3 linked regions of the Lepisosteus oculatus genome follow. The protein of the gene in region 1 interacts with the protein of each later gene in a pairwise test. Links are inferred from orthologs where the notes say so. Each region holds a gene or a part of one and is shown in the gene's direction. Other genes may lie near its edges.

Evidence for each region.
Region 2: the proteins of grb10b (region 1) and gigyf1a interact in a two-hybrid assay, tested with the Homo sapiens proteins (2 studies listed by BioGRID). The link is inferred for Lepisosteus oculatus from reciprocal best matches to the Homo sapiens genes GRB10 and GIGYF1.
Region 3: the proteins of grb10b (region 1) and gigyf2 interact in a two-hybrid assay, tested with the Homo sapiens proteins (2 studies listed by BioGRID). The link is inferred for Lepisosteus oculatus from reciprocal best matches to the Homo sapiens genes GRB10 and GIGYF2.

What each region holds. Positions count from the first base shown.
Region 1 is NC_090705.1:43,180,173-43,188,031, reverse strand, and holds the start of grb10b (growth factor receptor-bound protein 10), read left to right. Parts: upstream 1-4,782; 5' UTR 4,783-4,859; intron 4,860-5,227; exon of another isoform or gene 5,228-5,457; intron 5,458-7,859.
Region 2 is NC_090698.1:9,898,951-9,905,965, forward strand, and holds the start of gigyf1a (GRB10-interacting GYF protein 1), read left to right. Parts: upstream 1-3,958; 5' UTR 3,959-4,216; intron 4,217-7,015. Other genes in the region: pop7 (ribonuclease P protein subunit p20), read right to left, coding at 396-845. UniProt on the Homo sapiens protein: May act cooperatively with GRB10 to regulate tyrosine kinase receptor signaling. May increase IGF1 receptor phosphorylation under IGF1 stimulation as well as phosphorylation of IRS1 and SHC1.
Region 3 is NC_090708.1:19,413,111-19,420,552, reverse strand, and holds the start of gigyf2 (GRB10-interacting GYF protein 2), read left to right. Parts: upstream 1-4,394; 5' UTR 4,395-4,492; intron 4,493-7,442. UniProt on the Homo sapiens protein: Key component of the 4EHP-GYF2 complex, a multiprotein complex that acts as a repressor of translation initiation. In the 4EHP-GYF2 complex, acts as a factor that bridges EIF4E2 to ZFP36/TTP, linking translation repression with mRNA decay.

The sequences.
Region 1 (7,859 bases):
TGTTTTTTTGTCAAGAGATTCATTTTTGTGCAAGTTTTTAAACCAGGTTTAAGGGGTTAATGCAGGCACCTATGTCCAATTGTGTCTTTGTGGATCCATCTTGAGTTAATTGGATACATTGCAGTATCAAATTTGTAATGCAATTCATTGCTATCATAGCCTGCTGCCAAGTGGATGTGCACTAAAATGTTGTTTTGCTGTTACATTTCAAAAGTCATTTTTTGCTTATGCTTTAAACCAGCTTTTTAAAAAAAAATATTGATCATCACTGTTGATACAAATAGTGACACAGACATTTCCCGACAGTGCTGCTATCATTATCATTAGTTATAGGCCACTTCCTGGTAGCTTCCTGATTACAGATTGAGGCTTGACTGTCACTGATGAATCATCACTGGTCAAACTGCTGAAAACTGGCTACAGCCATTAAAATGGACTCTTCCCCAGTACTGGCCAAGTAACTTGTAATTGAAAGAAAGGTTTTAGAAAAATAAATATTTTTCTTTGAGGCCTGAAGGCTCTCTGCATTAGACTATTATATATACAGTACCTGTCACAGTCATGATAACAAAATAAGAAAAAACGCTTTGTTCATGTCAGTATGAAAATAATAGAAATCTTTTTCACTAAAGCATTAGGGTGTTTTAATTGCTCTGGATCTCCACCACAATGATCACTTTCAATATTGTGATTAGCTGTGTCCCTCCTTCTCTGCTCACATACTGTACAGTATCTCCTCAGGAAAGGCCATCTCTAGCCTGTCATTTTTCAGTCTCAGGCCTACAGGGTGGAGTGGGACATTGATGGAGAAATTCAGTAATTGATCCCAGCTTTGATATTGCACTCAGCCTTTTAAATACCGGTGAGCAGCACCACAATGTGAATGACAAAGAGTTGGCACACACCACTGCACACAAGCACATAATGTCCCTTTATAATTTTCATTTTACTTTTTTCGTTTAGCATTGTCTACATACTTGTACCATACATACTTCATTTGTAATATCAGGGGCTAGACATTTCACAATTTCAAAACTAAAAAATAATCCTCCATGTAGGACTAAAGACATGCCACTGTGAGTTTAGTTAACACATAAAACATAGCAAATTTTCAATATATCCTTTGACATATAAAACGCTTAAAATGAACTCAATATTTTGTAGAAAATAGACTATAGACTGAATTACCACCCTCACTGCCAAACATTTATGCATATATCTGTATGTTTCAGAGCTCTATATATTTTATTGCTCACTGACAATGATGGTGAGTGAAGTGAAGGGAATGCTGCTGAAAGAGATAATGCATAAAATCATATCTTTATTACAAGGGACAGTACAGCACACATGAATTTTAACAACGTGCAAAGTAGTGAATATAAAAAAAGGATGCAACAAAGCAAAATCTCTCTATGAAAGTCAATAAAACAATTAAAAATCAAGAATTAAAACTGCCATTGATGTCCCGGGTCATCAACAGGTTTTTCTCATGCTTTAAACTTTCTTACAGATGGACCCCAATCAGCTCCACCATTGAATGTGCTCACTGAGGGCCCGTGGAGCACCTGCAGTGCTGAAAAATCATTATGAAGGCTTGCTCCTGTGAGCTGTAATCTCTGGACATGCTCAGATGAATACGGACTAACATAAATTAGCCCTGTCTGGCACACATCAGGCTGTGCGTGAATTTACAGTCTACAGTCTGTATTAGGATGGATGCTGTATTCTAATGAGAGGACTGATGAAGGTTAGCCCTTTTTTCTTGTGGTTAGGTTGCAAAAAGCTCACATACTGTATTCATCTCACACCAGGCACAATTTTACTCAAATTAATCAGAGGAGGGAGTATACAAAGAGGAAATTAACACATTAACATATCAAATGGTATGCCTTGTTCTGCAGTTTCTCCAGAAGTAACAGGTGGCCATCTTGGCTCAAGGCCACAACACAGGGCCTGAGATCTGAACCAAGATGGTGGCGTTCTCACAAGGCCACCTCTCTCTGCATCTCATTCTAATGATCAAAAAGAAATATGAAATTATATATATTCTTAGAATGTATTTTGATTATGCTGAAGGTTGACTTTCTTTTTATGACATGCAAGGGGTCTTTTGGGTCAGTCAGGATATTATCTATAACTTTCATTTTCAGAAAGTAAACAGCATGTGTTATCTATCTATGTATATGCCAAATGCACACTTAGGTACTGTTTATATACTGTACAGAGATTATAACTAATCTGGTAAATCATCATACTCGTATAAAGTATGTACGAAAAAATGTATAATACCCTATAACCATGTGCAGAAGATTTCCTATAAATATGAGCCCATATGGCAGTGCCACTTTCTGCTCAGCTGGGAAAAGTTTCAGGCAATTAACCTTCTACACTGAAGAATCATGAGCCATGATTGGTTCTTCCCATGTTGGCCAGATACACAGATCTCTGGTTGTTTTTGCATTATTCCTCCGACTAGTTTCTAATTTCTCACATGCAGGGATGAAAGGCGACCAGATGTGAAAAACAATTTCATATATACTGTAATTGAAAAAAAACTATATCAAAAAGGTAAATGTAAACACATCTATAGAAATAATTCCATTGGTCACATTCAACCAATCAGATTTTACTGTATACCGTGGTAAAACCAAACTAAAGTGTGTTAAAACCGCAGTAAAACCACGGTGAAACATAAAGATAAACCATGGAAAACTACGACCAAACAAAGAAAATGAATGATCAAAGCATGACAGTTTGTAGAGTTAATAATTCTTAATAATGAAATCTCTCTATTGGAAAAGAAGAAAATTACAGATTACCACTTTAGGAAAAAAAGTACCTGCTCTTGCTGTTGGTTTACAAAGATGAAATGCATAACTGGCTATAAATCTCAGTTTAAACAGTACCTCTTATGATCTGCATTCAATTAACCTGCTTACATTTTCTTACGTTTATAAATATGTCTGATTTCTCCAGGCTGATTGAGAGGAATTGTGCTTTGTTAGGGTTTTACATTCCTGCAGGTAATTGTTTGTTTTTTTTGTTGTTATCACATAGTTGCAACACTATTTCTGTATACATCCTTTTTGGTCTTGAGCACCTGTTAACGTGAGAAATAAATGCAGTGAATTGCAGGTATGTGTATGAAGTAACTGTTTGTCCAATAACAACACTGCAGCAGAATTGGAATTGTTCAGTGACTTCTAATTCTTTTTCCTGTACGTAAAGCTAACTGCTCTTGACTCCTAGAAAGGTGTTCATTCTGGTAAATAGATGGATGGATTTATTAAAGACTGAATTTCCGGTACTTTCCTACACCTACTGTAGAATGCAAAATGGCCTCCTCAGTCCTAAAATCTCCCCTTATTTATTTATTTTTCTGATGGAACCCTATTTGATGACCAAGCATGAGCTAATAGTAGGCACTAGTATTTGGCTCATACAATATATGCTGGTAGAGTTTACTGTCTGTCTATTCATCTTTGTCAGCTAGAACTCCAGGACTCAAACAACCCTAAAGCTAAGAAGAAAAATCAATTTGGTTCACCACAGGGGAATGATTCTTTCTCAACATGGGTTTCACTTTTCTCTGCTAATCATACTCCTGGTGGGACTGTCCAAAAACTGTTCTGTGCAGTCACTTCATTTCCAATTCACACGTTTGCTGCTTGGCAAATTCATTTCTTTCCTTTTTGTTCCATGGAACCATGTTACCATGGAACTCAACCGCAGACAACGAATTCATGAGGTCAGCCCCGAATGGAAGTCTTGAAGAGTTTCCAGAGTATTTTGAAGATTCCCATTTGCTGGCCTTTGGAGGGAGTTATATTTCCAAATACCATCTCTGAAGGTACTGTACATTTGGGCAGCACTTTCTCATGTCCTGTTCCTTGTGAGGAAGCTGCCATTAGGCTTGAACATCTTGGAGATAGACACCACAGCTGAAACTGAGATGTCTTCCAGATGTTTTTTTGTAACTGAAGTTTTGTAACTCTCACTAATAAACAGAGGCAATCAAGAAGTCTTCCAGGAACTTGTGTAAACTTTGCAAGGCTTTGTGAACCTGACAGAAGACTACAATAACAGAGGACTGCATTTACAGCAGTTCAACATATTCCCTGGCTATGATATGAATAGATTTGAACATTGTATATGTAGAAAGGTATTATTTTTACATTTATGCTACTGATATGCAGTATTCAGTAGGTTTTCATAAATTTTAGCACATTTTGATTATTTAGTCGTTTACACCTGCACTTTAAATCTGCTGCTTGTTCTAGCTGTTACTGTACATAACAGAGGTATATTTGAGTACATTTGGGTGCAGCTAAGGCAAACACATAAACAGTGCCGTATCTTTTTATTATTTTTGTATGAGTGGCTTATTTCAGGTGCAACCGTTTAAAGTAAGGTTTTAAAACCGCCTTAGACGAAAGGGCTTCTCTAGAGTCAAATGCAAAGTATATGTACTGTATATGTGTGTGAATTAACTTTGGAGGAAATATTTGGTGTAACGGGGCAAATTATTGCAATCAGAAACAGCATGTTTTTTTCCATGCAATTCGATGTAGTAGAATATAACAAAACAGTTTTATGATTTCTAAAGCACCTTCCTTAGCTTTTCAACAAATGGACGATACAAGGGATAAATATCACGTGGATGCCTCTACCCCTGAAAGTGTGGGAGTGAGCGGCTCATAAATTACGTCAACGCAAGGAGTCCGGGATGGTGTTGCAATACCTGACTGAAAAAAAAAACAGTACACATTTAAAGAGCTCCTGTCTTTCACGATCCTTTCCCATGTTGCTGTATGGATTCGTCAGGAGCCGGGAGGGTACCTAGGCAGTTAAAAGCACGGGTGTGTACCCCTTTAGTAGGCGGGGTATAGATTTAACTTGTCTGCGCAAAGATGCCGGGGCAGAAGTATTTTTTTTTTTCAAAAAAAGTGTAGGTCTTCTACAGAATAGAAAACACAAAAGACGCACTTTATTTTCCACACTCTGGGGAGGAGGAAGATTTCTGTATCCCGAGTCATCGCAGTGAAGGGCCGGGAAGACCAACAGGAAGGCGAGAAGCAGCGGGGAGGGTGGGGGTACACGGTTTGGGGCGCCCGGTGCGCAGATCGGTTGCGCACGGTTAACGGGTTAAGCAGCCCGAGTCCCCCCCGAAGGTGGTGCCTGCGCTTCGCCGGCGGCTGTGCGTGGAGGAGGGGGAGGTGTCTGCGGGGCAGGTGGGTGGGGTTTTCTCGCGTGTGCTGGGGGAGTCAGCTGAGCCTGCAGCCCGTGAAAAACTGCCCGTTTTGGACGGGGGATGTTGTGCGCTGGGGAGACCGAGAGAGGAGAGCTCCGCTGAGCAGCGACTTCGCGTTGGTGAGCTCTGCGGCTGAAGTTGCGTTAAAAGTCGACCCTTCCCTGGCTCGCAGCCGTTATTTTCTTTGGGAGGGCTCTGGCTTGAAGGTAGGTCTCTTGAGATTAAGCAGCTTGTGGTATTTTTGTTGCTCCGGTGCGCTGCAGCGACTCCCCCGCTGTGTAGCGAACAAAGTTTGTGAAGAGCTGAGTGCCCGGAGATGCGAGGCTGGGTGGGTGGGTGCGCTGGGGTGCGAGCTGCTCCGGTCGCTACTCGGTAAAGGGAGAAGTCAGCTGTCCCCCCCAACACTGTATTAATGTCAGTCGCGACAGTTTCCAGCCTAAGTTTAAAGCAGGAGTGTCCTCGCTTTTGCGGTGTGGCACAGAAAATCAGGATTTGCACCAAGTGGTCTGAGTTGTTAAATCGAGCTTCTGGATGAGTTGGGTTGCAAATGTTAACGTCGAATTGAGAAAGCTAAAGAATCCAAGATTTGTCCGCGCTGTTTTGGAGACTTGGAAGCCATGGTCGCGTCAAGCGGGTTTATATACACATTTCAAATCCCTTTGCGGAAAGAAAAATCGGCGTGCGACAATATATAGCACGTAGTAAGTGTGGCGTTTAAACGAATCCCCAGTCGAGTTTAATACCAAGTTTGGTTCAAGACTTTAAATACAATATTTTTGGAGTGGTTCGGTAACTTTTAAGCAGATCTTCGTTTAGCGTTGAGTTTGGGGGTGGGGTAAGACGCTTTTCAGAGCTTTGCATTATTGAAACGGGCAAGCCAAAGTCTTTTAACACATGGATTGCGTTTTGTTACTGCGCTACGTTCTATAGCTTTGCGCATTCAAAGGCGTATTTGAAACATTTACAAAATAAACTTAATTTGTATCGTCGAAGGAGTAAATAATTCCGCTTTTACATTTCCTATAAGGCACTTGTATTATTTGGCGAAAAGTGATGTTTACTTTGGCGTTGCTGAATCAGCAGAATTCTACGTGCACTCTGCAGTAGTACAGCGGTAATCACGACTGTAGTTGCAACATCGACCTCATCCCCACCGAGGGCATTATGTTAATGTAGTGAAAAACATCCACCGTTAAGATTTTTTAAAGCAAAGCGTGTTCTGACACATCTCGCAGCTGGCACTGCAGAAGTGGACAAAGGCATAGAGACTGTCGGTTTCAGTTTACACAAGACTGTATTACACTCCTGTGTAAATACCAACGAGGTCTTGGATAATAACTGGATTCTGAAGTTAAAGCGCGCATAATGCAGGCTACACAGACTGCATTCACTTTAATGCTGCCATTTTGTTCCTTTTAGACTTTATAATTATATTGATTTCCGTATTTAGTAAAATATTGGTTTTACTAAATGCTCAATTGGTAAAGGTTCACACGATTTCAATTTAACTATGCATTATATTCCAGCACTTCTTAAGGTGCAATCGATGTTATTTTGGGCAGTGCTAGAACAAAGTTAAAATAAACAGGTTTAAACATTGAAATATTAGCGATTGTGTTTTGGGGTTGGGAATGGTCCTAATTGTTTATCTAGTGGTGTTTGTTTGAAAGAAGTTGCAGTTAGAACCACAAATGTGAAACTACTGTACAGTGTATGAGGTAACTTGGGGCTAATACCTAAACCCTTCAGACGCAGTCCTGAAAGATAAAGGGGTTTGCTAAGGGTGCTATACTTCAAATGTCATCATTTCACACTTGAGCAGCAGATAATAAGGCTTTAAATGTGTGTTTCCCATGAAGAGGATATTTTGTGCTTTTATAGGCTTTGTGAAGTGGTGATCTAGCTAATTTTTGTATCCTGATCCTTTGGATGGCCCTTCTGTTTTGGATTGGTCCTTTTTAGGAATTGCGTTATGGCATCTGTATCGAAAGAGTCAGTATAGGGTGATGTGTGGACAAAGACGGACAAATGGGTTCTGGTTGTTACAAGAGTTCCCTTTACATACCAGGTCTGTCACTCCAGGCATGAAGCCTTACCTACGTCTCGGGAATCTGCACAGAAGCCTATTTGTAGAATCTGAATGTTCTTTCCTTTTAGTAGATTCAGGAAAAAATGTGCACAATATAGTTTTGTTTTTAGTGCCTTCTGTAGATGGTGGGTTGATGTACTGCAGGGTCCCTCCAACAGGGATCTGGAGAACCCCATTCCAGTCTCTCGTGTAGGTCACCTTTTGTCTCCCCATTCCACGGATTGGCAGCACCTACGAGCAATTAGAGCATTAAGGCTGGGGGAGGCTGTTTGTTCCACTGTGCTCGTTGGGTAGTTCTAGTTGCTAAGTGAAAATAAAATTTCCTCCAGCTGTTTTTATTAAGAGTGCCCAGAGTTTGGCCTTCAACCACCTGGCTGGGAAGCCTGTTCCAAAGACTCGCAAAGTAAAGAAACATTTCCTCTCCTCCATCCAGAATGAAATGCCTTTTAGTTTTGTTTTCCCCTGTTTGACCCTGTGTCCTCTTTCTCTACTGGTGTGAATCCTAGGTGTAACTCCTGG
Region 2 (7,015 bases), on another chromosome or scaffold:
ATTCCAGCCTCGTCCTGTTCACGGCACAGAGTCAAGGCTCTCGCCTGGAAAAAGGGCGATGGGGCAGAAAGGGCGCTGGGCCTGCGCAGGCCCACCCCACCCAGCAGGACCCACGCACCTTCTCCAGCAGCGCGGCGGTGTGATCAGGCTGTCAGCTCTTGTCCCAGCAGTCATTAAACCACAGCAACGGCCGAGAAGTGACGACCTGCTCAGAGACCAGCTGGGGGGGGGGGGGCACGCAGGGGCGATCAGGAGCCTGGGCCGTCCTGCCGCGGATCAGTGCAACACCGCGTGCAGACGGGATCTCCCAACGCGCTGTCCTCCGAGAGCCAGAATGCCCCGGGACCGGAGACCCTGCGGGACCGGTCAGCGCGTCCCTGCCCGCTCCAGTCCCCTCAGTGCCCCTCGCCGTAGAAGACCTTGATGTGGATGGCGGAGTTGTTGCGCGTGCGGGTCAGCGGCTCGCCCCCCTCCTCGTCCTCGGGCTCCAGGTCGTCCACCAGCTCCACGGTGGAGGTGTTGGCGGCGATCTGCAGCGCCCCCTGGCTGGCGGCCTGCAGCTGCAGCGCGATGTTGATGGCGCGGTTGATGGCCAGGCCCAGGCCGTGCACGCAGATCTCCCGCTGCCCGCCGCCCTCCAGCAGCTTCTGGCAGCGGGCCAGCTGGGCGCGGAAGTCGGTCTTCATGTTGACGTAGACGTCGTTGCGGCGGCGCGGCAGCTTGCGCGGGAGCCGCTTCCGCAGGGTGAACTCCACGGGGTCCATCTCCACCTCGCCAGCGCCCCCCAGTGGCCGGGCAGTGCCTCCACTGGCAGGGACAGACACAGGACTCCGGGGATCTGCCATCACACTGGAACAGGAGCAGGCAGAGAGAGGGAGAGAGGAGCAGGCAGGGAGAGGGGGAGAGGAGCAGGCAGGGAGAGGGGGAGAGGAGCAGGCAGGGAGAGGGAGAGGGAGGAGGAGCAGGCAGAGGGAGTTGGTGTTGTGTTAAAACATAATTACTTTGTGAACAATATTGGCTAATACATTAATATCCAGCAATATATATGCAATCATATTGTCCTGTGCCAAGTAGCATTGCCTTTGACAACAGTAGAATATCATCACACTCCTCTCTGTACAAATGTAGTCATAAACGGAGTATGTGTACTGTCTTTTTAATATATGAAGGAGAACACCAAGGTAGAGAATTCCTGGGTTAAACCTGGGTTTTATTCTTTATGTAAAACTGCAGAAACATGTACTGTACATATTTTTTTTGCCTAATCTTTAAATATTCAATGGAATACATTTATGATGACTTTGTCAGTAAAACTTACACATCCAGTTGGTTTACTGTTACTGTTATTGTTGGTCGATTGTCAGACGCCTCCAAAGCTTTTAGCCTATGTTTACACCAAATGTATTTGAATTTGGAATTACGCGGCGAAACGCAGGGAATGTGTCATTTTAAGGGAGAAGAGACAGAATTTCTTTGCTGGTTTGCACAGCCATGAATGGAGAGATACAGTAATGCCAAACAAAATGAAAACAATCCCAGGACGACACGCAAGTCGTAGCTAACAGAGCAATACATTTTATGAAGAGTTATTTTGCTGGCAAATGTGTTCCGAAAAGTTCCGGAATAAAATCCTCCTGATTTCATCATTCAAAGTTTCGGCTTCATCGGTTTTACTCTCACGTTTTCGTAATAAACGTGTTCGCGCTCTTTAGTGAAATCGGACGACAGCACAGTGAACATACAACATTTATTTCTGCCTTAATAAAGCGAGTTAAGTTTAGGGGGGCTTTATGCCCTGGTGAAGGCCGATTAGGTGAGCTTCTCTGGCGGCTTAACGCGTCAGGAAACATCGGTGCAGATGACGTGGCCCACCTCTTTGCGGTAACTTAAAACGGCTCCTGACATTGGTTCAGCTAGTTCGTTTGTTTTTGTTTTTTTATTTTGCACACCGAAACCACTGACCTTTTCTCCAAGTGAAAGAACTGAAGACTACAGATCGACGTCGGTGGTGTCGTTCGTGCTGTTGCGACCCGGACAGCGGCCTCGGCTCCCCGTCCTGGGGCTTCGCATGCAGAGAGACGGAAGGGTTTTAGAGCGACACCGCTGAACTGGTCCGACCCGGAAAGGCGGAAAGCCCCGGTAGGACAACGTTAATAGACGGACGCCACAGCGACCAACAAATGCATGACAACGAGGAGTTAGCGCCTATATATAGATACAGTATGTGAACCCCTGAAAAACTTAATTGATTTAAGTTTGAAGTCCAATAGCCATCTGAAACGGCAAGAAGTTCCTCTATGTGGCATAAAAGTGTTGAATTATGGAACTTCATACAACGGCTGGTGGATTTTTAAAGTTATTTTAGCCACATATTGAATTTTTTCCCTAAAATATGTGCTGCTCTGACATCTAGAGGAGGAAGTTTAAGCCGATGCTATGGAGGTGGATTTTATGAGTGCCCGGTGTCTGGAAACCAGCTGTGTCTGAGAGAGACGAGACCCAGGCTCACGCATGAGAGGGGAGGCGGGAAATGACCCCGAGAGTGACCTTTCAGAAACCAGACCGGAGGCAGAACATGCAAACACCACATGGTCAGGCCTGTGATGGACGCAGCCATGCGCGTTTTCCAATAGTCCCAGAAGGGAGTTTCCAGATCTGCAGAGGCGAAGGAGGAATGAAGCGTATGAGTTGACTTGCACAACGTTCTCCCAGCTGACAGGAGGGTCACTTCACAAGCGCACAAGTGCATACAAAGAGTTACAAAAGTGAGCAGGCCCCTCTGCCCCTCGTGCTAATTGGATTGCTAATGAGCCACAAATCCTATCCAGCCCTTTCTTATAAGATCCAGGGGAATCAGCTTCAACAGAGCTCTTGGGCAACGTTTTCCAGAAACCCACTGTCCTTTGTGTGAAGATATGTCATCCGTTCTCTGCCCTGAGTGCTGCTGAAAGAGGTGTATTTAAATCAGAGGCGCCCAGCTCTGGGGCTTGCAGGTCCCTTTAAACCTTCACCTGCTGCAGAGCAAGGAAAAGGCTTCTTGTACAGTTAATGCAAGGCTGTCGAGTCCTGGTGATGGAGGAGTCAGTGTGTCTGCAGTCTCTCCTGGTCTGTTTAAAGCAGGGCTGTCCAGTCCTGGTCCTGGAGGGGTCAGTGTGTCTACAGTCTCTCCAGGTCTCTTTTAAGCAGGGCTGTCCAGTCCTGGTCCTGGAGGGGTCAGTGTGTCTGCAGTCTCTCCTGGTCTGTTTAAAGCAGGGCTGTCCAGTCCTGGTCCTGGAGGGGTCAGTGTGTTTACAGTCTCTCCAGGTCTCTTTAAAGCAGGGCTGTCCAGTCCTGGTCCTGGAGGGGTCAGTGTGTCTGCAGTCTCTCCTGGTCTGTTTAAAGCAGGGCTGTCCAGTCCTGGTCCTGGAGGGGTCAGTGTGTTTACAGTCTCTCCAGGTCTCTTTAAAGCAGGGCTGTCCAGTCCTGGTTCTGGAGGGGTCAGTGTGTCTGCAGTCTCTCCTGGTCTCTTTAAAGCAGGGCTTTCCAGTCCTGGTCCTGGAGGGGTCAGTTTTCTGCAGTCTCTCCAGGTCTCTTTAAAGCAGCGCTGTCCAGTCCTGGTTCTGGAGGGGTCAGTGTGTCTGCAGTCTCTCCTGGTCTGTTTAAAGCAGGGCTGTCCAGTCCTGGTCCTGGAGGGGTCAGTGTGTCTGCAGTCTCTCCAGGTCTCTTTAAAGCAAGCTGTCTAGTCCTGGTCCAGGAGGGCCTTTCGTGTTTTTCATTGCAAGCTGGTTTTAGTTAAGGGGTCCACATGAACAGCACTCCACACATTATGCTGGCGCATTAAGTGAAAAAACAGAGTTAGAAGCCGGAGCCGCGCGGCATCCTCCAACCCTGCTGGATCATATATCACGTGACAGGGGGCGACTTCTGTGGTTCGGGGAAAAACTCAGCTTCTCGAGCTCCCCTATCACGTGGCGCGAGTAGGACGGCCATCTTTTTTTAAAACACAAACAAGGAGCGAGTGAGCACAGCGACAAACGCGCAACGACTGTTGGATACTACTTGCATTTAAAAATAGAATTTAAAACAACAGTAGTAATAATAGTTATTAATAATAATAGCAGCGAGTAATCCGGCGGAGGAAAAAAAATCGAGACAGCGGAAAGAAGACGAACAAAATAATTCAAGGAGAGAGAAATACATTTAAAAAACTCAAGTCGGGAACATAAACAAAACGCAGGTAAGCGCCAGACTTGCTTCTTCCCGGGTTTAACTGTATTTTTTAGGAGGAGGTGTGTGTGTAAGCGACAAGGGTGCGGTTTGTCTGTTTGGGGGGCTCTAAGTCTTGCGCGGATTGAGGGTTTCTTTCGCCTCGTCGTGGGGATGAAAGGGCAGGAGGAAAGACCGAGAGCAGGTGAAGGCCGCGGCGAGAGCAGCGGGGTAGAGTTGGAGGGGCGGCCGGCGGGGAGGGGAGGTGGGCGGGAGGGGGTCAGTGCCTCTCACACCCCGCCCCCCCCTCCTCCTCCTCCTCCCCCTCCCTGCTGGAAGGCCTGCAGCGTCGGGCCCCCTCTCTCCCGACCGGGAATCTCGGGGGCTGGATCGGTGCAGGATCGCCCGGCGTGCACAGCTGTGCGACACCCGTCTTTTTTGGAACTTGCACGGGTTTGTTTGTTTTTAGTTTGTTCCTCCCACGACAGCCTCAGTAACGTCGCTTTGCACCGCGCAGGGTAGGCCGTTGCTGGGACGTCGCCGCAGCTGCAGCTGCTTCTGCCATCGGTGCTGTAACAAGGTGGTGCTGCGTTTCCTGCGCCGCTCATGCGTTAATCAAGACCGGGCGGCAGGGCTGGCGGGGCGGCGTGAGCGCAGAGCGGGTCGTGTCGGTGTTCACGGTGCCGATGGTGCGCCTGTTCTGACGCCGTGGAGGTGACGGACTGCAGCCGCGCAGTGGGTCCGGGAGCCTGGCGTGTGGGGTGGGGACGGGCAGTTTTCAGGGGGCGCCGTGCAGCTCCCCGCAAGCTAGGACTGTCCCCCCTGAGGTGCTTGTCACCGTACCAAGGTGCAGACGGGTTTGTGGCGGCGGCGGCGGCGGCGAGTTTTTGTGTTTTGAAGTTTTGTTCGGATGCGCTAAAACCGCGCAGGGCAGTGCGCGCACTCCGATCCCTGCGAGCTGGCGCTGGCCTGTGGTTCAGGGAGCTGGGTGATTTTCTGCGTGCGGTCCGTGGAGGTGTGGTCCCGCACGGACGTTGTTTTGGACGGTCTCGCCGTGCGTTTTTGGCAGGGGGCTGTCAGGTCCGGCACCTGCGTTCCCCGTCATCCATAAAAAAAATTCCCCCAGGGGACGATAAAAATCTGATCTATCTTATCTCATTAAAGCCTACTCTCCGGCTGATCCTTCGTTATCGATCGGAGCGAATTCAGCAATCAAGGGTCGATTCAGTACTTATTGGAAAGTGGACGGCCCTGCGCTGCGATGAAATCCTGAGTTAGGTGCCCCTCGGTGACCGAGCACTCACGAAAGTGAGGCACTGAGACCTGGGTTTCTTCATAACTCGGTCTCCGCCTGGACCAGTGATACACACTATTCTCTCTGATGGTTTAAACCAGTATAGTTGTCCGGATCTGGAGCTGGGCTGGTCAGCAACAAAGCAGTGTTGCCTTTAGGGGGAGGATTGAGTTTCTTTTTCAGCTGTTCGGTACTTTACTTTAAGGCACGTTTGTATGATTTTGTCTATTCAGAGTGTTTTGTTTCTTTAAGGCATTGCTTTGGAGGGGGGTAACTATTGAGACGATGATGAGAATACCATGAGACTTGAAAGCACCGTTTTTAAAGACTGAAATGTTTTTATTTTAAATAAAAATTTTGTCAGTGGTGGTTCTATCAGTGTCTGCTGTGTTACAGTTCACAGCAGGGTGTGACAGTGTGTGTGTGTGCTGGTGAATTAATGGTGAATGTGAGAGGAGAGGGACAGCAGTGGCTCTAGCAGTGTCTACAGTACAGTCAGGTGTGACAGTGTGTGTGTGCTGGTGAATTCAGGGGGAGTGTGAGAGGAGAGGGACAGCAGTGGCTCTAGCAGTGTCTACAGTACAGTCAAGTGTGACAGTGTGTGTGTGCTGGTGAATTCAGGGGGAGTGTGAGAGGAGAGGGACAGCAGTGGCTCTAGCAGTGTCTACAGTACAGTCAAGTGTGACAGTGTGTGTGTGCTGGTGAATTCAGGGGGAGTGTGAGAGGAGAGGGACAGCAGTGGCTCTAGCAGTGTCTACAGTCCAGTCAGGTGTGACAGTGTGTGTGTGTGTGCTGGTGAATTCAGGGGGAGTGTGAGAGGAGAGGGACAGCAGTGGCTCTAGCAGTGTCTACAGTCCAGTCAGGTGTGACAGTGTGTGTGTGTGTGCTGGTGAATTCAGGGGGAGTGTGAGAGGAGAGGGACAGCAGTGGCTCTAGCAGTGTCTACAGTACAGTCAAGTGTGACAGTGTGTGTGTGCTGGTGAATTCAGGGGGAGTGTGAGAGGAGAGGGACAGCAGTGGCTCTAGCAGTGTCTACAGTCCAGTCAGGTGTGACAGTGTGTGTGTGTGTGCTGGTGAATTCAGGGGGAGTGTGAGAGGAGAGGGACAGCAGTGGCTCTAGCAGTGTCTACAGTCCAGTCAGGTGTGACAGTGTGTGTGTGTGTGCTGGTGAATTCAGGGGGAGTGTGAGAGGAGAGGGACAGCAGTGGCTCTAGCAGTGTCTACAGTCCAGTCAGGTGTGACAGTGTGTGTGTGTGCTGGTGAATTCAGGGGGAGTGTGAGAGGAGAGGGACAGCAGTGGCTCTAGCAGTGTCTACAGTCCAGTCAGGTGTGACAGTGTGTGTGTGTGTGCTGGTGAATTCAGGGGGAGTGTGAGAGGAGAGGGACAGCAGTGGCTCTAGCAGTGTCTACAGTACAGTCAGGTGTGACAGTGTGTGTGTGTGCTGGTGAATTCAGGGTGAGTGTGAGAGGAGAGGGACAGCAGTGGCTCTAGCAGTGTTTATAGTACAGTCAGGTGTGACAGTGTGTGTGTGCTGG
Region 3 (7,442 bases), on another chromosome or scaffold:
AGAGTAAATGATCCTCAACTTTTCATCAAGCTGCCTTTCTGCTTCTGGTTCGAACTGACGCATCCAGCTGACCATGAGTGACCATGTCTCTCTTCTATAAAATTAACAGGATGTATTACATCCGCTGACTTTTAAAACATGGGTTTCTACTCATCTCTGTTGTACATTATTTCAAGGAAATCATTTTAGAATTCTCCTGTGTAAAGACAGCCATCCCAAAGCTCTATAAAATAAACTGTATAAATGAAATGATATTTAATAATGGGGAAAATGCCGTACGTTGCTCCAAAAAGATTTGTTCAGCTTGAACAGACTAAACCTCCAATTTAACAAAATCCATCTGCCCTTATTTTATGAAAATGAGTTGTCATGACACTGGTTAAAAGGAAAATTTGGAAACCTCTGAATCTTACAGAAATGTTTGAAAGGAACTGTTACAAACGCAAAACATCTTGCACAGCCCTAGTTAACAATCCAGCATTTGTGGGCTAAAGTGTAGATAGTCTTATCTGAGAGACCAGATGGGTCTTTTAACACTTGTCTTCTTCAGTTTTCTTTGCTGTTTTGGAGGATGTGATCCCAGCTGAGGACTTATTATTAAGAATATTTTAAGCTTTTATTATAGTAGATGTAATATTTATGATATTATAATGTTTGACTCAATAATCACACTGGGTGTTTCTCATGTTTAATTAATGACCAAGAAGTACTTATTTTTTAATGTTTGTGTAATAAAGCTGAAAAAAATAAATTAGACAATTGTATTTTTCTGAAATAAATGGAAATTTAGTTCTGTCTTCTGTATCCTTTTTACCTGGTCACATTACAGCTGCTTACTCTTTGCAAAAACACTGTGTAGAAAGATTGAGACTCTGCAGTGTTGGTAAAGCTTAATTCAACTGCACTTCCCACAGTCTGAACAGTCACATCCCAACCTTACTTTGGAGCTGAGGAAAATGTTCTGATAAATCAATATTTGCTGGTAAACAGAAACCCTAAACCAATTCAATATCTCTAAAAATCCCATTCAACTACTGAGTGCCCTGCCCACAGGAACATCATGCAAAAGATAGCCTACAACAGTTTTTCATTGATGAATGCTGGGGAAAAATAGATTGTTTCCTGCTGTCTTGCTACTTCCAGAGGTTTTCTTCGATAGAACAGAAATCATAACTAGTGTGTGGTGCCTCTCAAGGCTTCAGAGCTTTGGGCCAGGCAGAAACTCGTATAAAGTAGCCCATGCAATGCCAACTGAAATGAACAAATAAATGAGGAGTTTCAACACTGGACCCTTAACAGAAATAATTGTAGATAACTCCAAGTTATCTACATTATTTCAGATATGAATAGAGAGCATTTGGCTTTTAAAAACTTGCATTCACATGTGAAACCTGCTGCCTGAAGCAGACAGACTAACACAGGAAATGACTTGATGGAGAATTTTTCTTCTGTTTTTGAATTCTGCTCACCATGAAATACCCAGATTAAAGTACAAGTAATGCAAGTTAAGCCCAACTAGTCCTTTTAGTGGTTAGCAACAAACTGTTTCAGGATCTCATCCAACCAGTACTTGAAATAAGACAGAGCTTCAGCTTGAATTACATGACTGGGTAGCTTGTTCGAGATTCTTCCAACCCTTTGTGTAAAGAAATGCCTCCTTTCAGGTAGTTTTCACTTTCAACCTGTGGTTTGTGTTTTCCTATTTATACTGAAGACATTCATTTGCTAGACTTTGTCACTTAGCATGACCTTCCTTTAAGACCTTCACAATAACTGGTTCCTCTTCTCTGGACTGATACCTTAACAGAAATACCATAATGACCATAGTGACTAATATTCAGTAATATTTCAGAGGTAAATGTAGGTACAGTTAGTTACAGCATACAGTACATTCCTACAGGAGTTCAAATCAGAGCAACTGTATATTATGGTAAGCTCCATTAACCTCTGTGAGGTTATACCCTTTTTAAATCAGATTGTTTTTTTGCTTTGGGTTATTTATTTAAAAGAATTATCATTAGGGCTCTGAAGGTGTGTTAACTATTGTGGTCAGAGCACACAGACTGATACAACATGAACTCTTTGATCAGCAAATGGAATATCCTTTCCAGTGGCTGCCCTCTGAAGGACATGGAAGGGTCATGGAAGGGGACCAACAGGTACCTAATTCTAGTTTAAGGGATTACTGGGATAGTCTGAAGTGCAAGAACATCAACAACCTCATCTGATGATTTATTTTAGCTTTTGTTCAGTTGTGTTCTGGATCTGGGGCAAGATCAGTGGTGTTTTCTGAGGGAGAGCTCAAGATTACACAGAATTCAAGAACGTGCACAGAGGTACTGCATGAAGACACACATCACTCTACTGAGTGACTCTGAAACAAAGGTGAAAATATTATGGCAAAGGCCCAACAAAAACATTTCAGGAAAGAGATATGCTGTGCGCATCGTGTATGTACACTATCTGTGGGTATTCAAATATTTGAGAAATGTCTTTTATCCATCCTTCTTAGAAATGCTTTATCCAATTCAGAGTCACGGGGGGAGCCAGAGTCTAGCTCAGCAAGCAACGGGCACAAGGCAAAATACAGTACCTCCTGTATGGGAAGCCAGTCCATTGCAGGATACACACAGACACAAACATACACATACTCACACCTAGGCCAGTTTTCCCAGCAGGCAATTAACTTACAGTACCTGTGAGAGAAAACTGGAGCACTTGGTGAAAACCCATGCAAACACAGGGCAAACATACCAACTCCACACAGATAGCACCCCAGGTCTGAAATTAAAAGCAGGGCTCCATGCAGCACTGCAAAGCCGCAACGCCAACCACTGTGCCACCAAGTCAAACACCTTTCAAGCATGGGAAATTGAAAAATGTTTATGCCCACAAAGCCCGGAACCTCTTTTCAACTTCTCTAATCTCATCTCTGCCAAGTCTGCAATTCGGGCCAGTCTAAAAACAATTGATTTTCTGTGTTTGCTGTGAAACATTTTTTAAACAAGGCATTGTGTTTTAAATAACAGTCTGTAACATTATCGGGTTTTATGACAACTCTTCAAGCAATCCCTTAAAATAAAGAATCAACTTACTGCATTGGAGTTTGAAGGTGATTATTAATATTGCTGTTCTCCTTAATTATATAATGTGAATTTCAGATTAAAACGTCCACTGGAAGAACAGTGAGCGCTGATCTATTAAATTATTTAATACATGATTAAGATGAGCAGGATAGCGTTCCCTTTGTTTTGCCTCCCCCCCAAGACTAAATCCTACTTTAAATAAGGCAACTGAATAAATAATAACCAAATAATAAGACAATGTTGATTTCCTTCTGATGGTTTACTCTCTCACAAAATAATTTGGATGAGTCTGGTCTGAGCTAAAAACTTTGACAACACACTTGGTCTGGATGACAATTTTATCCAATGTGACTTGTGTTGTAAGTATACACACAGTGAAGTGTATAAACACTAAGAAGCACTATATCCAATCGTCTGAGAAGAAAAGAACAAACAGGAAATGTTTGTAGTATAATGTGCAGTCACCATATTGTAGACCAAAAGGAGCCTGAGTAAGATCTGTTTTGGATGTCTAGACGTAGCTCTGGTGACAATAGTTTAAAAAGCAGAGAGTCAGATCACATGATGTACATTTTGAGCAGTGGGCTCAGAGGAGACACCATAAGGATAATGATAGTGCAGTCCTGACGTTTGTGGATAGCTGATTCTGCCAAGAGAGGGGATTATGAGGCCAATATGAGAATAACCACAAAGTTCAGGAGCCCAAAATTGTAAGGTCTCTTCTAATCCACTCAGAGCCAAAGGACATTGATTCATTCATTGTGAATTAGTAAAAACAAATTGGTTGTAGTCCAGATCTCTCCCATTCTCACAAGAAACGAGAGATGGTTCCACTCCAAACTGGCACTTTTTAAAACAATCCAAGCATGATTTGATAACATGATGTTGGAAAATGGCACTAAGACAATGGTCTTGAGTTTAATGTCAAACACTTTCTGATTCAGGTATTTCATAATAATGAAATAAATAAGGCAACTATATTTAACTAGATTTCTTAACATTTTCAACTAAGATGACTTTGTGAGAAATCCAACGTGCACTCGAATTCAAGTTCAAAAGTGAAACTTTAAAACACCATTATAAATACTGAAACTTCATGAATACGACTGAATTAGGAACCTTAATTTTTATATAAACATATATTTTAACACGAACATGCAGCCTCTAAAAGGGATTTTTTTTTTGTCTGTAGTACAGCAGTGCACTAAAAGTGATTAAATCCTATGGTCTCCTTGAGACGTGGTAATTGAACATAGCGAAAGAGCGTCTATGGTTGATAATCCCAAACCATCCGGGTCCCTAGTGGGTTATATGTGATCATGTGACCTGAACTCAGCCATCTTGTTGTGGAAACGAAGGGAGACAGAGAGCTCGCATAGATACCCTGCACTGTTAGTAAAGCAGAGGTAAGACAGCGCGGTGGAAATTGTAGCTGTTGTTATTAAATAAACCTAGACGATTAAAATGAACATGTCACTATCGTCTTGATCCCTGTCCCCAGTTGATCGGAAGCAATTTGCTCCGGTTTCGGGACCCGCATGGTTGAGTGGCCGTGTATCTGCGGGCTCGAGTGTGGTAGGGGTGCCGTGTCGGGGCTGACTTCAGGCGCCCTGGAACGGCAGGAAAACGGGGTGTGGCGGCAGGCTGCTAGGCCGCACGGAAGGTTCAGGAGAGTGATAGCGAGGGGAGGGGAGGGGGTCGGTTAGGGATTAACTGGCGTGTCAGTGTACTTTCATACAGTTGGGGACTATCTGTTTGTCTCGTTTCGAAGTCTTTTGCTCGTGGTATTTTGTGGTCGATGAAGGTGGTCGGACTGGTGCTGTTTGTGAGGCTGGGGGAGGGAAGTCCTGACGAAAAAGTTGTGACAGTTTGCCCACAGAGCACACAATGCCTCCACGAATTCCAGTAGCTGCTCTGGATTCTGCAATGACAAGACAGTTTGAAACTGCAGTTTGCACTGGAGCGCTTTTCCAGGTGGCCTACCGGGGCACCCCGACGCCTGAGCTGGAAACTTTAAAATACCCACTTTTATTCGTACCCACTCTTCTCGAGTCGTTTCTTTATTAAGCAGCTCGTCCTTTAAAAGGCTTTCATCCTCTGATGCATTATGGTGATGTCGAATGTGGTTCGAGGGATGACTCCCGTTTACATACAGTGTAGAAATAAATGCTGTGTTTTTAAATACTTTTTTTTTCTTACGCGAGTGAGAATCTCGGATTTTTCTGAACGCAGCACAAGTTTCCCATGCGGATATTTTCGCGAGGCTTTCTGTCAGCCGTGCCCTGATGTACGTGCACCCTGTAAAAGTATTTGGTAGTTTTGTCTCTTCTGAACTTTATCGGGAAGCTGATTTTTTTTACCACCTAGCGTTTTAACTGTGTAGGAATCGCCTCGCTCTGAGCAAGTCTTTTTGAGTTTTTGTCTTCAGCTTTAAATTGCGACTTTCAAATCGTTGACTGTTAAAATTTAAAAGTAGATTTAAAAATCTACAGCTGGTGACTCATCAGTGATGTTTTTCATATAGAAAGGTGAAGCAATAATAGGGCTACAACTTGTTTGTTCCATGAGGTCATTTACAGCCACGCATCTCAACCGCGTGGGCTCTCAAAGACCTGCATTAGGTTATTTAACTGCCAGGACAGGACTGTCAGATATACTGAAAGAACATCTGTTTACTGAGTGGGTTTACGGAGCATTAGAGAATTATGGCAGAGTGCTGTACTTTGTGGTGCTCTCTGTCTCATGGAAGGTGGAGATAATGTGTGGATGTGCTTAGCAGTCCAGGTCTGTGGGGTTCCCGGTATAGAATCTGTATCTGAGGGTTTAAGCCAAGGACTGTGTTGAGGACAGCTCACCTGTGCTTATTGGGGGCAGGTGAAGTCTGGGGACTGGCAGGGGCCCGGCTGGGAGGGGGAAGCCTCTGACCTTTTTCATATTTGCATTGCTGGGAATGTGTGAGCTGAAGCTTGGGCAGCATCTTCTGTTAAAATGCAGGCACATTGGGCAGGCAAACATTGGCACGGGCAGGCAGGCATTCCTTCTAGAGAAAACGTATCGAGTTATAGTTTACCTTGCAGAAGCCTCCCATTACTGTCTGGGACTGCCCAGCAGATTCTGTGCCAAGAATGGGCTGTGATCTTCTATATCAAGGCTGCAGAGTGTGTAGGTACATTTCTGCCTTGATAAAGGAGAGGAGCTGCACCACAGAGTATTCTCATTAATTTATATCAATATGCAACATCTATCTCTTTTGTAACTGTTTCTATATGTATACACACTTAAAACACTTAAGCCGTTGTACCTCTTTATGGTCTGATCTTGTTAGATCTCGGAAGGCAGAGTGGTCAGTAGAGATCCTTATGGGAATCGATGTTGCTGCTGCAGGTGGTGTCAGTGGGCCAGTAGGTGGCACTTTTTTCTTTGAACCAGTGTTTTGCAAATCATCGTCTCAGGGCACACCAGTCTCCTGACAGTCCTACACCTCCCCTTTATCTGCTGTGTATTGGGGCTTCAATGTGTCACCTAAGTGGCGGACAAAGGGACCCGTTTCATAAATATATAAAGCAATATGGAATCCTTTATGATCAAAAGTGCTATATAAATGCAGTTGTTTTGTCTCTTTTGTCTCTGTGTGGATTCAGAAAGACATGTATGTGCAAAAACATCAAAAAGGTGCTTATCTATTAATAGGTGACTCTGTTTCTGTCAAGGCGGAGGGCAAGGCTGTTTGTCTCTCAGGTGTCATTAAATCAATGAATGACACCCTTACCAAATATTCTTTTCTTTGCGTTTGACTGACAGGGCATATAATTGGACTGAACTTATTAATTGTCACCGGTTACAGGGACTCAAAAGAGTCCTGTATTATTTTTCATCACTACTTCGCCGAGGCTGGAATGAGAAATTTGTGCACCTGCTGCCCTTTCTTGCATGTGGATTCAAATTCTGATTTCTTAAGTTTAGGAACCTTATGGTGATCACGCATGAGTCCCTACTTGTGATTAGTCTATAAAGAATATGTTCTGGAAGTTTATCAAATGAAACCTGTAGACTAAGAACTTTTTTTTTTTCAGTGGGTAATCCGCCCACTCTTTGGTAATTGCATTAGTTAGGCAGACTGCCCACAGTTTGTCCATAGTGAACAATTGGGACCAGTGTTGTGTTGTGTTCCTGTACACTGTGTGTGTTCTTGGAGGTCCTTTCAGAAATCTAAAAAGGACGTGTTTTCAAAAAGTTGCTGATTTAAAATGATTTTATCTCTTTAACATTGCAATGAATGTTGGCATTCACACAAGGCATATTTACAGCGTAGGCAGTGTGGTAGTCTTTTACTGCAAATCTCTTACCTTCCAAATT